Rattus norvegicus: one gene and its partners. The protein of the gene in region 2 purifies or fractionates together with the protein of the main gene of each other region. This does not show direct contact. Links are inferred from orthologs where the notes say so. Each region holds a gene or a part of one and is shown on either strand. Other genes may lie near its edges.

Region 1 (3,646 bases), on a different chromosome or scaffold from region 2:
TGTAATAGGCTTGCTTGCTAAGTAGTGCAAGATCCAAACCTAGATGGTAATTGAGACTACAGTGGTAGATCTGGCTCCTATTTTTCCAGCGCTTATCATCACTCCAATTAAATGCCTACGGCTAACAGACAGTGTAAACTGGCCATTAAGTCTGGTGTTTTACTTGATAGATACCATAGTGTGGGGTGTTAGAACTATATCATTGGAACTTTGGTAAAAGTGACCTAGCATGGGATTAAGCCTCATAAAGAAGAAAGTGTATGTATTACAAGAGCTTTATTATTAGAAAAAAGTAGAGGAGTTATAGAGTAAATGTTCATCTCTATTAAAGACAGGGAGCTGGAATATTGCGAAAGGATGCCCCTGCGTCTCCTGGGTTGTAGGTGCGGAAGGTGAAGTGGGAGTAGGAAGTTCTTTGAGGTCAGATATTTGGTAGATGACACTTGCATAGACATTGGTGCTATAGAACTTAGTCACACTGGAGCATGCTGAGGATTACCTGGAGTCCTTGTTAAATTTGTTATCATGCAAATCAAGACTGGGACACAAAGGAAGCATTGGAGAGGCTCTCCTGAGGCTGACTCCACATTGAGTTGTAAGAATCCCCTAGAATATCAGGAGGGGCTTAAGAATGAGTGTACAGTGAAGGAGGTGGCAGATGCATGTGCACTGATCTCAGGATGAAGATGGTGATGAAGGGATTGGGTAAGTGACAGGGTTGCTCGAAAGTGCATGAGACCTTTTTTTTTTTTAAGAATTAAATATGAGAGATTTTAAAATTACATTTAAGAGGTGGAAGAATCAGTAACTGTCTCACTTTTACACTCATGAAGAAGCAATTTGTACTCCATGTTTGAAAAGAAGGGCAGTGGTTTGTTTTATTTTTTAAATAGGAGAGCTTGCTTTTCATTAAAGCAGAACTTATTGTGATTTTTAGCTTTAACCTTAGACAAAGGCTAAGAAACAGTTGTGGAGAATTATCAGTAAAGAAATGTTTACAAACCATGGGGTAGGTAGAATTTAGAAAGTATGATGGAGGGAGATGGGAGAAGTAGAAACCAGGTAGTAGAAACATTGAGATACAGAACCCGAGGGCTTTAGCTGGTGCTCTGGAGGCTGGTGAACAAGTCTTACTTAGGAGTCATGTCTAAGAATCTTATATTTATTGGCAAGCTAGTAAACTTTTGGGTCTACCAGTCTAATGAGCTGAAGTGAGCACCAGATTACTTTGCATGGCTATGGGCTGAAAGGATAGATAGAAGACAGTGTGTTCCGAAATGTGCACTATTTGGTGTTCTTTGCAGAATCTTGAGCAATAAACACCATTCAGCATTTACTTTTCTCTAAAGAGTAACAGGTTTCTAAAGACAGAAGTAGGCTTAAGATGAGGTAGGTAGGACTCTTAAGCAAAAAATAACAATGACAATTTTAGTGGTGTATGTACTGAAAACTTGTTTAATAACATTGCTAAAATAAGGCAGAAAAACAGGCTAAAATTGGCTCTGTTATAAATGTCTTAAGTTTAAATTTTAGTTATTTGTAGTAATTGTGTTTCTTTAGCATTTCTATTCTATACTTTAATACCAGAGCTCACTTTTTGTTCCATTTCTTTGGTTTCATTTCAGAAGCCACTAATGATTCAGTAGTAGACGATGTGGTTGAAAATCATGTTGCCGACCAACTTTCATCAGACATGACAACAAATGCTATGGATACTGAATTTTTAACCTCTCCAGCCAATCTTTTGGAACCATCAACTAATCATACAGAGGCCCTTGGTCATGAACATTTAGGAAACAATGACCTCACTGTTGGTGGATTTTTAGAAAATCATGAGGAGTCAAGAAGTAAAGAACAAAGTGCTGAAGAGAATATACCAGCATCTTCACTCAACAAAGGAAAGAAATTGATGCATTGTAGAAGCCATGAAGAGGTCAACACTGAACTAAAAGCACAAATAATGAAAGAGATCCGAAAACCAGGAAGAAGTATGTATAGAGACAACACTTGTTACTTTGTCTTCAGTTAGGCAAAAACAAGTCAAATTCAGTAAAAGCATACATATTATTCTAGGTTATTCATTAAGGTTTAATTTCATATTCAGCTGGAAAGCACTAAAATAACCTTGGTACTCGAGGTACTCCAGTATGGGCGGTAGACAGCAGGATGCCTGTCTAAAGACTCCGTAGATGCAGCGCGTGTATGTAGTGATGTATGCATGTATGCATGTGACAGGGACCCAGAATCTGACTGTTCTAACTAGGAATTGAAATTTTATAATGGCTGACCCAAACAGATAGGGAGATACCTTTATAGCCCAAATTCAGTTCTCAACAATGTCCTGTGTGTGTGTGTAACGTTCCTCTCTACTCCCTGTCACCATGAATGAATTATGACACTAACCTAGATCATGTGCTTAGGCCCAAACCAGAGTCATTAAGGCTGTCACAAGAGTGCAAGGGAACTGTCTTGGTTACAAGAATTGTGAGTAGTATTGGCATCCATTCAGAATATAGCGGACACGGCTGTGCTAGTAAGAAAGTGGAAGGGCCTTCAGCAAAAAACAAAACAACAGAAAAACCAAGTGCTTGGAAGCTTTTATTTTTGGCGATACATACTTTCATGCACATAGATGTTAACAGTGGTCTGTGAAAGCTTTGAAGAGTGGTAATATTTTTATGTAAAATATTTTTCTATATAGCCAGTTAATTGTTTTTCCTTCTCTTTTTTTTTAAGAATATGAAAGAATCTTCACTTTACTGAAGCATGTGCAAGGCAGTTTACAAACAAGGCTAATATTTTTACAAAATGTCATTAAGGAAGCATCCAGGTAAAGAAACTTGCTTGTTGATAAATAATAATGAAATAATTTTTGGTTTGCATATGTGATTGTTTGTTAAGGCAGTTGGGTATATACTTACATGCATTTGATTCATTGAAATGTGTGGAACTTTTTTCTTCTATTTTTCCTCTTTTAAGCTAATTTAAAGTTGTTTGCCGAAATAGGCGCATAAGTCCTTGAGAAATTATGGACCTTTTCCCTGGTAAATTATTATATTCTTTTAAATTCTTGATTTTTTTTTTCTTCTCCATTGCTTTTTAGTGATGCTGTAAATCTTTAATTTCTTTCACTTTTCTACATTGATAATGATTGAGTGATTAGAAATAACCTGAAAAAGTAATAGTTGAATGCAGTCAATTTTTACATGAGAAGATAAGTAATCAAAGGGGTTGGTTCAATATCCCAGTATTATGTGCCTCGCTGTGTGAACTGATTCAGTATTGTAAAATGTAGCAATGAAGACAATGAATTGGTAAGCATAGTTGTATAACCTTTCAGATAATTACATTTTTTTCTTTCAGGACTTAAGTTTTAATATTATGACAAAACGTATTGCTTATATGATCATCTGAGTGTAAACATAGCCACCCACTAACTGTTTCTCTGTCTTTTCCTTGCTACCCATGAAGGCTTTAGATCAGCAGTTCTCAGCCTCTAGGTCATGACCGTTTTGGGGTTATGTAGAACAGCCCTTTGGTAGCAGTTGCCCAAGACTGTTATAACAGTAGCAAAGCTACAGTTAGGATAGCAATGAAAACAGTTTTATGGTTGGGGGTTACGACAACATAAGGAACTGTATTAAAG
Region 2 (4,207 bases):
CTGCCTGTTTCCCAAATGCTGGGATTAAAGGTGTGTGCCACCATGTCAGACTAGGCCTTTTACTTTCAATCTTCCTGCTTTCTGAGTAGCTAGAACTACAAGCTTGTGCCACCAGGTTCCTTTTGTGCTCAAATATTGAATGGATATACCTTTCCTGCTATCTTAACAGCCTTGCCTTGGTGTCCAGGAACAACCCTGTGGGATGTAGCTGCATTACATTTATGTCCGACACTTACTACCAGTTCTGGAGATTCTTGTGTCCCTTAGTACTGGATCCCTGACCTAACCCTCTGTACCACCAGGCCTTCAAAAACCCATCCCTATCCAGTGTGCAACATCTGTGTGCAAGTTTTTTCTTTCCTTCACACAGTCCTATGCCTCAGTCCTTCAGCTCTGGGTATGTGGTCTGCATGCCCTCCCGGTCCATGGAGTGGTGATAGAGTCCCATAGGTTGCACTGGGTGCCCATTGCAAGTTCCAGACTTAGGAGATGGGCTCACCTTGTACTTAGGTGTCAGTGACAGCCCTGCCTGGGCCTCAGAAAGATGGCGACGCCCAGAAACTTGTGATACACCCTTCTCTCAGGGCCTGTTGGCTGTCCAGTGGGTAAATCGTCTCTATGCTGCCCCCCACCCCGCGCCAGTTCATTTCTGGCCACCTAACAATCCCGCAGCCAGGCTTTCCTGCCCAGAGCCTGAGCCAGAAGCCAAGTAGCTTCTTAGAATGGTCAGTGGAAACCCGGAAAGAACAGGAAGGGAGGGCAGCTCCCCAGCTCCCGGAAGGTGATGCAGAACACCTCTAAACAGGATGGACAGCCGGCCGAAGGCCCACAAGCTGGCACACAGCACATACACCTAGGCGTAGCAGTGAGCCAGGGTGGTGCAAAGAAGTCTGCAAATCTCACCTGAGACGGGTTCCGGTGGGGGGTGAGTGGTGGTTCTTTACTCCCGCGGAGGGCAAAGGGTGCAGGGAAGGTCAGTGATGGGGGGGGTTGATCAAAGCTATAATTAGGCTGCTGTGGGTGACGAATCTTTGCCCTCCGTTCCGGTGGTCTACAGAGGCATGGCTCTGCTGCCTAGTTCACTGTCAGGTAAGAGCTCCCATCCCTATGCTTTCCCCCAAGCTCGCAGCCTGCGGTTGGGAAGAAACCTTGAGCTGCCACCTAAAGCCCAGCCTCTGCCCCGCCCTTTGCTGCCACGCCATCCCAATTGGTTGCTGATCATCCAATTAGAACTCGACATATCGGCCTGCGTTTCCGGCGCGAGGACCGGAAGGGGGCGTCTTGGCGGTTGCGCCTGCGCGCGGTTGTAGGAGTCGCGGTGGCTGGGTGTCAGGTTTGATTGCGCGCGAGGTCTAAGGCTTTCCTGCGGGCGGTGCGCGCGAGCTGTGGAAACGTGGTTTGAGACTGCCTGCCTCCTCGATGATGCCTGAAATTAGGGTCACTCCCTTGGGTGAGTCCGAGTCCTAAGCATCTTCTGCGGCGTCCGGCGAGTCCCTTCATCTCCATAGCCGTCTATCAGCTGTTCATCCCAAGGAGCGGAAGCCGGAGTAGAACGTTTCGGAGCTAGTGCTTCCTTTTCTCTGCCTGGCACGGGGATCGAAGAGCTTTGGGTTTGATTCCTGGTCCTAGAGCTCGATGTGAGTTATGGAGGCCCAGCTTCTCTACCTCGGCTGCTTAAGGTGGTTGTGAGGTGAAATGAATCTTGGACAGGTGTCACCTGTCACTGGTGTTGAATCCAGCACAGAGCTCGTCCTGTATTTGGACTGCTGTTTCAAGACCCCTCTGTATGGGCTTCTTTCTCATTTCTGCCCACCCCACCTCCCACTTCTCCCAGTGCTTCTCATGTTCAGGTTGCTTGCTGTCACCCCTCAGATCAGACTTTGTGTCTGGTCTATCCTGAATTTTTAAAATCATCATAGAGCATATAAATCTAGACGTCTAAAAGCCCCAATAGCATAGTATGGTTGTGAAGGAGAAAACAACCGTTTGAAATCTGGGATTTCAGAACTTCCCAAATGACCCTGCATTTTCCTTCCTACACGTGTGCAGGGTGTTGGAAGCACCTTCTTATTCATATGACCTGGGTCTCTGGGTTATCTTGGCTAGAACTGAGACTCTTCTCAACTCACTGAATCACAGGGCCTTAGCAGAAGCAAGTTCTGACTACCTCCACCATCTAGTCTAAACACTAATTAGCTTACGATATCAAGCACATTCATTGATCTGGCTCCCCAACGCCTGCCCCCACTGGGAAAGTTTTGTTTTCTGCCACAGTTCTGAACTTTTGGGCACAGTTATTCAATCTCCATGTAATGCACTCAGTGTCTAATTGTCTCGTCCCCCTACGGTGAATTCTGCTCCATGCAGAAATGTAGCATCCTTTGCTTTCTTGTCAGTTTTGTTTTCTCTTCGTCATTTTTCCCCTGGAGTTGTAAGTCTCTTTGGGAAGAACATTTGCTAGTGCCCAAGAACTGGGCTTTGTAATTCAAAAATGTACACTTTGGCACCATTCTTGGTAGTCCTGTGGTTATGGGTGCCTGTGATGTGAGGTAACCCTTGTAAAGGCGCAGCCATTCCCTGTCTATAAATGCTTTAAGGGCCTCAGGTCCTAGCACAGCTTCAGGGCTAAAGGTACCATGGGGAAGGATACTAAAAGCTTTCTCTCTGGGAGCACACATCTTGAGGATATAGGAGCAGGCCCGCAGAAGACTCTGAGGCCGACGGCTACTCCACCTCATTGTGGCTGGCTTCATAAGGAAAGCAGACTGGGCCATGGCTGGTCACCATGATGTTTGTGTACTGAAGACAGTGGTTGGTGCCTGCAGTGGGCAGGTGGAAACTATAGGATCCATGATGGCAACAAGGCTGTGTTGTTTTCAGACTGCTGTTGAGGCTTGGGCTGTGTCTCTCCTTCTGGATCCAGATCCCAGGAGAGATAACAGATACTAAATGGGGGAGATAGCTGTCTCCCGTGTGGTCAGTATCTTGGGCTGAACAGCTGGGGTGTCTGCTTCATCATCCCGAGCATGGAAGGAGCCCCCATTGAGGCTGAGCTAGGGGTTCAGTGATATGGGGTCTGTGCTGCCCACTGACCAAAGTGGGCTATCTGCGTTGCAGTTATTGGTCAGTCATGTTTCTTTATGGCTGGCCTAAGGCTACATGATTGTGGCACCGTTCAACACTAGAACTCAGGAGCCAGGCCTCAGCCTCTTCAGAAGAAATCTCAGGGGAGGGAACCTCACTGGCTTGCAGCCCCAGTAGATGGTCAGGAGTAATTTGTCTAAGGCCTGGGGAAACAGCAGTGGTGTTCTACAGTGCACTGGCCTGTTTCTGTTCAGTGTGTTGGGAACCACAGCCAGTTGGAGATGTGCGGTAAAAGCCTGGTGAGGGGAGGGCATGTGGCCCTAGCACAGCACCTTGTCTCCCCGTGGTGCATTCCCCTAACCTGCATGTGAAGGCAGTAAGTGGGTGGTGTAGGTCAGCCCTAGCAGTAGTGAGGGAAGGAAACTTGGGGAAAAGAGGGAGGAGCTGAGGCCTTGTTTCTCACTTGCCCTTCTCTTTGTGTAGGGGCTGGCCAGGATGTAGGCCGCAGCTGTATCTTAGTCTCCATTTCGGGCAAGAATGTCATGTTGGACTGTGGGATGCACATGGGCTACAATGATGACGTGAGTACTGCGGATGGGTGGTCCAGAGGGCAGCGATAGTCCATCGATAGTCATGTTCTTTCTGTCCAGCCACGTGAATCCTGTGGTCTTAGGGGCTAAACGAGGCAGTAGGAGCATGCCTGGACAGCTATACCCATGCAGAGTGGGGATGTGTGGCCTTGAACACAGCACTTAAAAATTAGGGTCCAGCTGAGATAGGCCTCTTAAGGATTCTTGAGGCTGGTCATGATTAGACCCTTTGGGCTTAGGTAATTGCTCAGTAGTTTGTGAGGCCAGCTAGTCACTTGGCCTTTCCGTGAGGTTATAAACAGGCAGTGGCCTAGGTGACGCTCACCAATGTAGGGGTTCTCTGACCCTTTGCTGGGGTCACTCCCTGGGGTGCACCAGTCTCACTTTCAGAAGACCCTGGGTAGCCTGAGGCATTCCAACTTTTCTCTTGTCTCCTCCTCAGAGGCGCTTTCCTGACTTTTCTTACATCACCCAGAGTGGCCGTCTGACTGACTTTCTGGACTGTGTAATCATCAGGTAGGTTTGCTGTGGTT
Region 3 (4,296 bases), on a different chromosome or scaffold from region 2:
AGTACAGTAATAGAAGAAAATGAAGAATGGACAGAGAGATTACAAAGAAAGTACACTCACAAAGAATGAACAATGGTACCACTGTGCCAAACCCATATTGAGGTAGAGTATAAACTGAAGTTTCGAGAACAGACAGACCATTTGGATTAACTCTAATGGGATGGGGCAATGGTATGGCTCTCTTCTGAGGGTTACACCATATAGCTCTGACTGGCCTGGGTATAACTATGTAGAACAAGTTTTTGCTTCCTGAGTTTCAGAATTGAAAGCATGTGCACTTTCACACATGGTTAAGCCTTTTGTTCTTTATCACAAGACCATGTGTTTGCCATTCAGGGCCAGGGATACATGATACTCAAATATGTATCACTGATTACGAATGCCCACTCTCTGTGACAGTGGGTGTTTTTTTCTTTGTTTCCACTCTCTGTGAGGGTGTTTCCTTCTTAATTTTCTCTCTGATTGGAGAGGAAGAGGAAGTAAGGGAGGAATGCAGGTAAGGGGAAGGAGGAAGATGAAGGGAGATCGAAAAAGAAGAAAACAAAAATCAAGAATAAAAGCAGTCACGCTTTAACAACCCTGCTACGTTTTCGTATTTTCATTCTTAAGGAAAAAGGATTGTGATACTTTTATATTAGCCATATAAGAGGTTTGGCGTCCAAGCTCATTATGCGGCAGGGGTCCATCCTCAAATACTTTCGACCTGGCTCATTTCTTACTAGCTACCTAGAAACTCCCCAGCAGGATAAAGTAAGAGGTCGCCTTGGCTGCTCTATTTCTTCAGGGTAAGAGGGGACTTTAACAAAGCCTTTAACACCACCAGCCCTTGAACGCCACCAGCCCCAGGGCCGCGTTCTAGAAACTGAGCAAGGCAAATCTCCCTACTTAGGAGTTCCTTCTTTAGAGACCGATATAACAGCCGCAGAAGCACAACCAGACCAGCCTGTTCTTCATTACGTCACGCACAGTTCCCAAGGCTCGGGTTTGAGTCTTCGAGTCTCCCCAAGAGATCATCATCGCCACCTCCCATTCTCGACTCTCATTGGCAGCTAGACCTGCTTGTTCCCGTGGTTGCCAGCAGCGACGCAGGCGGGCACAATTCTGGTCACTAAGATACTTAACTTCCGCTTCCGCTCGTCCTTCGGAAAAACATCTGATTCATCCGGCCAATGGTGAATGAGAAGTAGGCGGGACTTGGTTGGTTCAGACCAAACAGACGCGAGCTTGTGCGGCAATGGCGGCGGGACAGCCCCTGTAGCGCGGCTCGGGCGCCCCCACGTCCGCTTTGCGTCCTTTCCCCGCACCGCCCCTCCCGAGCCCGGATTCCGCCCGGAGCTCGCTGCTGCCTGATAGAAACGCCAGGGAGTCAAGATGGCAGCTGCCGACGGCGACGATTCGCTCTACCCCATTGCGGTGCTCATAGATGAACTGCGCAATGAGGACGTTCAGGTGCGGGGATCCTTCCGTTAGAGTGTGTGGGGGAGATCGGGGACGGGGATCTTCGCGGAATGTGGGAGCGATGGCTCAGGGTTCTCCGGGAGTGGCGGAAAGCAGCGGCGGCCAATCAGAATTCAGGTCTCATCTTTCTTGATGGCAAGGTTCGATGAGATGGCAGCCTTCATTGGGTGCCCAGCCAAGCGGAGGGCAAGCCTCGAGGGTCCCACCTGAGTGCGCGCGGCAGCCCCGGATCTGGGCCTGGGCGGCCCGAGATTGGGTGGCGGTCTTGCTGCCGCCTTCCAGTCGGTGATTGGCGGCCGACACAGAATGGCTCTCTGTAGGGAATCGGCGGGGGCGCGTGACCTGCTGAGTAGGGGAAGCCCTCAGGGGTCCTGGCGACCTGGGTGGAGTTACCATCGCTTTTAGTGTTTTTGTTTATTTTAACTGGAACGAGTGGGGATTGATAACTGGGACTTCTATCCGTTCTTCACGGACCTCCGCCTTGCATTTTGTGGTATCTCTCCTGAAGGAGGAAGGAGACTGTGAAAGTATGCTCTCCAGAGATTTAACCTAGCCTTATCTGGGATAGGTCACGTGTACACACCCACCTGTTCTCCAACTTTGTCCCAGGCCTGTCTGCCAAGCGAGTTGATAGTTCTGGTTCACGGGAAAAAAATGAGCCAGGACCCCTGAGTTTGCTTTGGTTTTGAAAAAGAGGTCAGACCTCAAGGCCGCATCCTTTCACCTGAGGATGACCTTGTGTGCACATTATTTCATCCCCCCTGGCTTCTGTTTTCTACAAATACCAGCTAATAATAGCCCTGGCTTCCCTGGGTGGCTGAGGAAAAGTAGTAAAATAAAACTGGCTGTTTGTAAAGGCTCTATAAATGTTAGCTATTATTTTGGGGGTGTGGCTATTGTGGCACTACGGCCTTCTACTTTTCCTTTTATATAGAATTGTTCATGCTGCACTTGGTCAATTTCCTGAGCCTGGCCTATCTAAGTTTTATGTATTTATGTCTGACTCTGGTTCCATTATCAGCCAGGCTGGATTTGTACTCCTGGGTCTTGCACTTTTTGCTAATTGATTCAGGCAGTCTGTATTTCTCTTCTATTAAGTGAGAATAATCTGGTTTTGAGCATACTGTATGAATTTATGTGTGTGTGCTCTGTAAACACATGCAAAGGATGAGGGATGTTGTTGGGGTCATAAAGGAGACCAGAACCTGGTATAGTGGTGCATGCTAGCAATCACAGCACTCTGGAGGCAAAAGCAGTGTCAAGGCTAGCCTAGTCTACATAGTGACACTGTATCAACAAAGAAAAAGGCTGGTTGCTATACAAAGGCTAGGTGTGAAACAGGCAAACAGAACTAAATCTGCATATTACCACATGTAAGAAACCAGATCTGTCAATGTTGAAATAGTGAATCAGCAAATGTTTGTTGGACATCAGAGTGTCTCTAGATGTTGACAGCTGGGAGCAAAAGGACAAAACTTGCCTTAAGGGATTTTAGTGAGTAGTGACAGATAAATAGGTATTATGTTGACTATGGAAAATATTAAGAAGAAAATAAGAAATATAGGGTACAATATTAAAGTAAGCATGGGAAAGTCTTGTAGAAATTTGAAATAGTACCTGCTTTTGGAAGGAGCCATTAGGTTCTGGGTAGAGTGTGTATACTAGACAGATGAGTAAGGAATTAAGCCAGTCAAGGGAAGCTCCTTTCAGGATGGAAAGTTTAAAAATTTGGAGAAGATAATTCCAGAAGGAGGGTATGTCTCTCTCTCTCTCTGTGTGTGTGTGTGTGTGTGTGTGTGTGTGTGTGTGTGTGTGTGAATGTATGCAATGGCTATAGTTATAGTTTTTTGCCTCCAAGGATGTTTAGTAATGTCTAGGGGATGGTTTGGTTGTCACAGCTGGAGATTGTTACTGCTTTTAGTAGGTTGAAGTCATGAATGCTGTTAAACATGATTGCAGTATATAAGACATCCTTCATAGGAAACAAAAAAAGTCCCTCTTTTAAAAAAAAAAATTTTTTTTAGTGCTAAGGTTGAAGGAAGCTGTTGGATGAAATGTTCACCCAGAGACAATAAGGAACTTGTTTAGCTAGGTCAGCTGGCCAGTTTTGTCAGAATTCTGTAACAAGTCACTATAAAGTAAATATAAAACAACATAAAGTTTTATTATGTGTTTCCAGAGATCAGAAGTCTGTCAGAGATCTTGCTGGGTGAAGGTGACCTCATGACAGCATAGCCTTGAAATAGGCAATAGGGCTACGCAGCTTTCTGCCACTTTACTCAAACATTCAGAGTGCCATCTTCCTGAAGAAAACAATGCACGTTGTGAACAAAATCAAAACTAGAGTGAGAGAACTGTCCACAAATGGACAGTTTTCCAGCAGCATCCTCACCTGTTAATATTGTTTTTCTAGAAGACCTCAGAGCCTTGTGGGAATAACCAACCCGAGCATACGGGGAACAATCTGTAGATGATACATGCTACTATGACTGGCATGAAGATTATGAATGGGATGGTAGTTTCTCCCTGATACCATCTACTGTCCTTAGGGCTGCTGCTTACTACTCACCAGTTGTCACCCTGGCCCATTATTTCCCACAGTGCAGCTAGGAGAGGAGCACAAGCATGTTAAAAAAAAAAAAAATTGAGGCAAGGATGTTGAAAAACTAGTTTACAAGTCATCAAAATATAGCCGTAGTACCATATCCATCTACAGCCAGCTTTTGCAAGTAAGGTTTTGCTGGAGTAAAAACCATGCCAGTAGCTTTACTAAATAAAACTTTGCAGGAATAAAAGCCATGTTAGTTTGTTTGCATAATGGTTCCTTCCCATTGAAAC

What was found.
Region 1: the proteins of Ints11 (region 2) and Ints6 purify together in Homo sapiens (affinity purification with mass spectrometry; 3 studies listed by BioGRID, with this or other methods). This does not show direct contact. The link is inferred for Rattus norvegicus from reciprocal best matches to the Homo sapiens genes INTS11 and INTS6.
Region 3: the proteins of Ints11 (region 2) and Ppp2r1a purify together in Homo sapiens (affinity purification with mass spectrometry; 3 studies listed by BioGRID and IntAct, with this or other methods). This does not show direct contact. The link is inferred for Rattus norvegicus from reciprocal best matches to the Homo sapiens genes INTS11 and PPP2R1A.

Annotation. Positions count from the first base shown.
Region 1 is NC_086033.1:41,112,064-41,115,709, reverse strand, and holds part of Ints6 (integrator complex subunit 6), read left to right. Parts: intron 1-1,625; coding exon 1,626-1,988; intron 1,989-2,736; coding exon 2,737-2,830; intron 2,831-3,646. UniProt on the Homo sapiens protein: Component of the integrator complex, a multiprotein complex that terminates RNA polymerase II (Pol II) transcription in the promoter-proximal region of genes.
Region 2 is NC_086023.1:171,760,093-171,764,299, forward strand, and holds the start of Ints11 (integrator complex subunit 11), read left to right. Parts: upstream 1-1,312; 5' UTR 1,313-1,419; coding exon 1,420-1,450; intron 1,451-1,468; exon of another isoform or gene 1,469-1,637; intron 1,638-3,567; coding exon 3,568-3,665; intron 3,666-4,116; coding exon 4,117-4,190; intron 4,191-4,207.
Region 3 is NC_086019.1:69,211,828-69,216,123, forward strand, and holds the start of Ppp2r1a (serine/threonine-protein phosphatase 2A 65 kDa regulatory subunit A alpha isoform), read left to right. Parts: upstream 1-1,370; 5' UTR 1,371-1,371; coding exon 1,372-1,449; intron 1,450-4,296. UniProt on the Homo sapiens protein: The PR65 subunit of protein phosphatase 2A serves as a scaffolding molecule to coordinate the assembly of the catalytic subunit and a variable regulatory B subunit.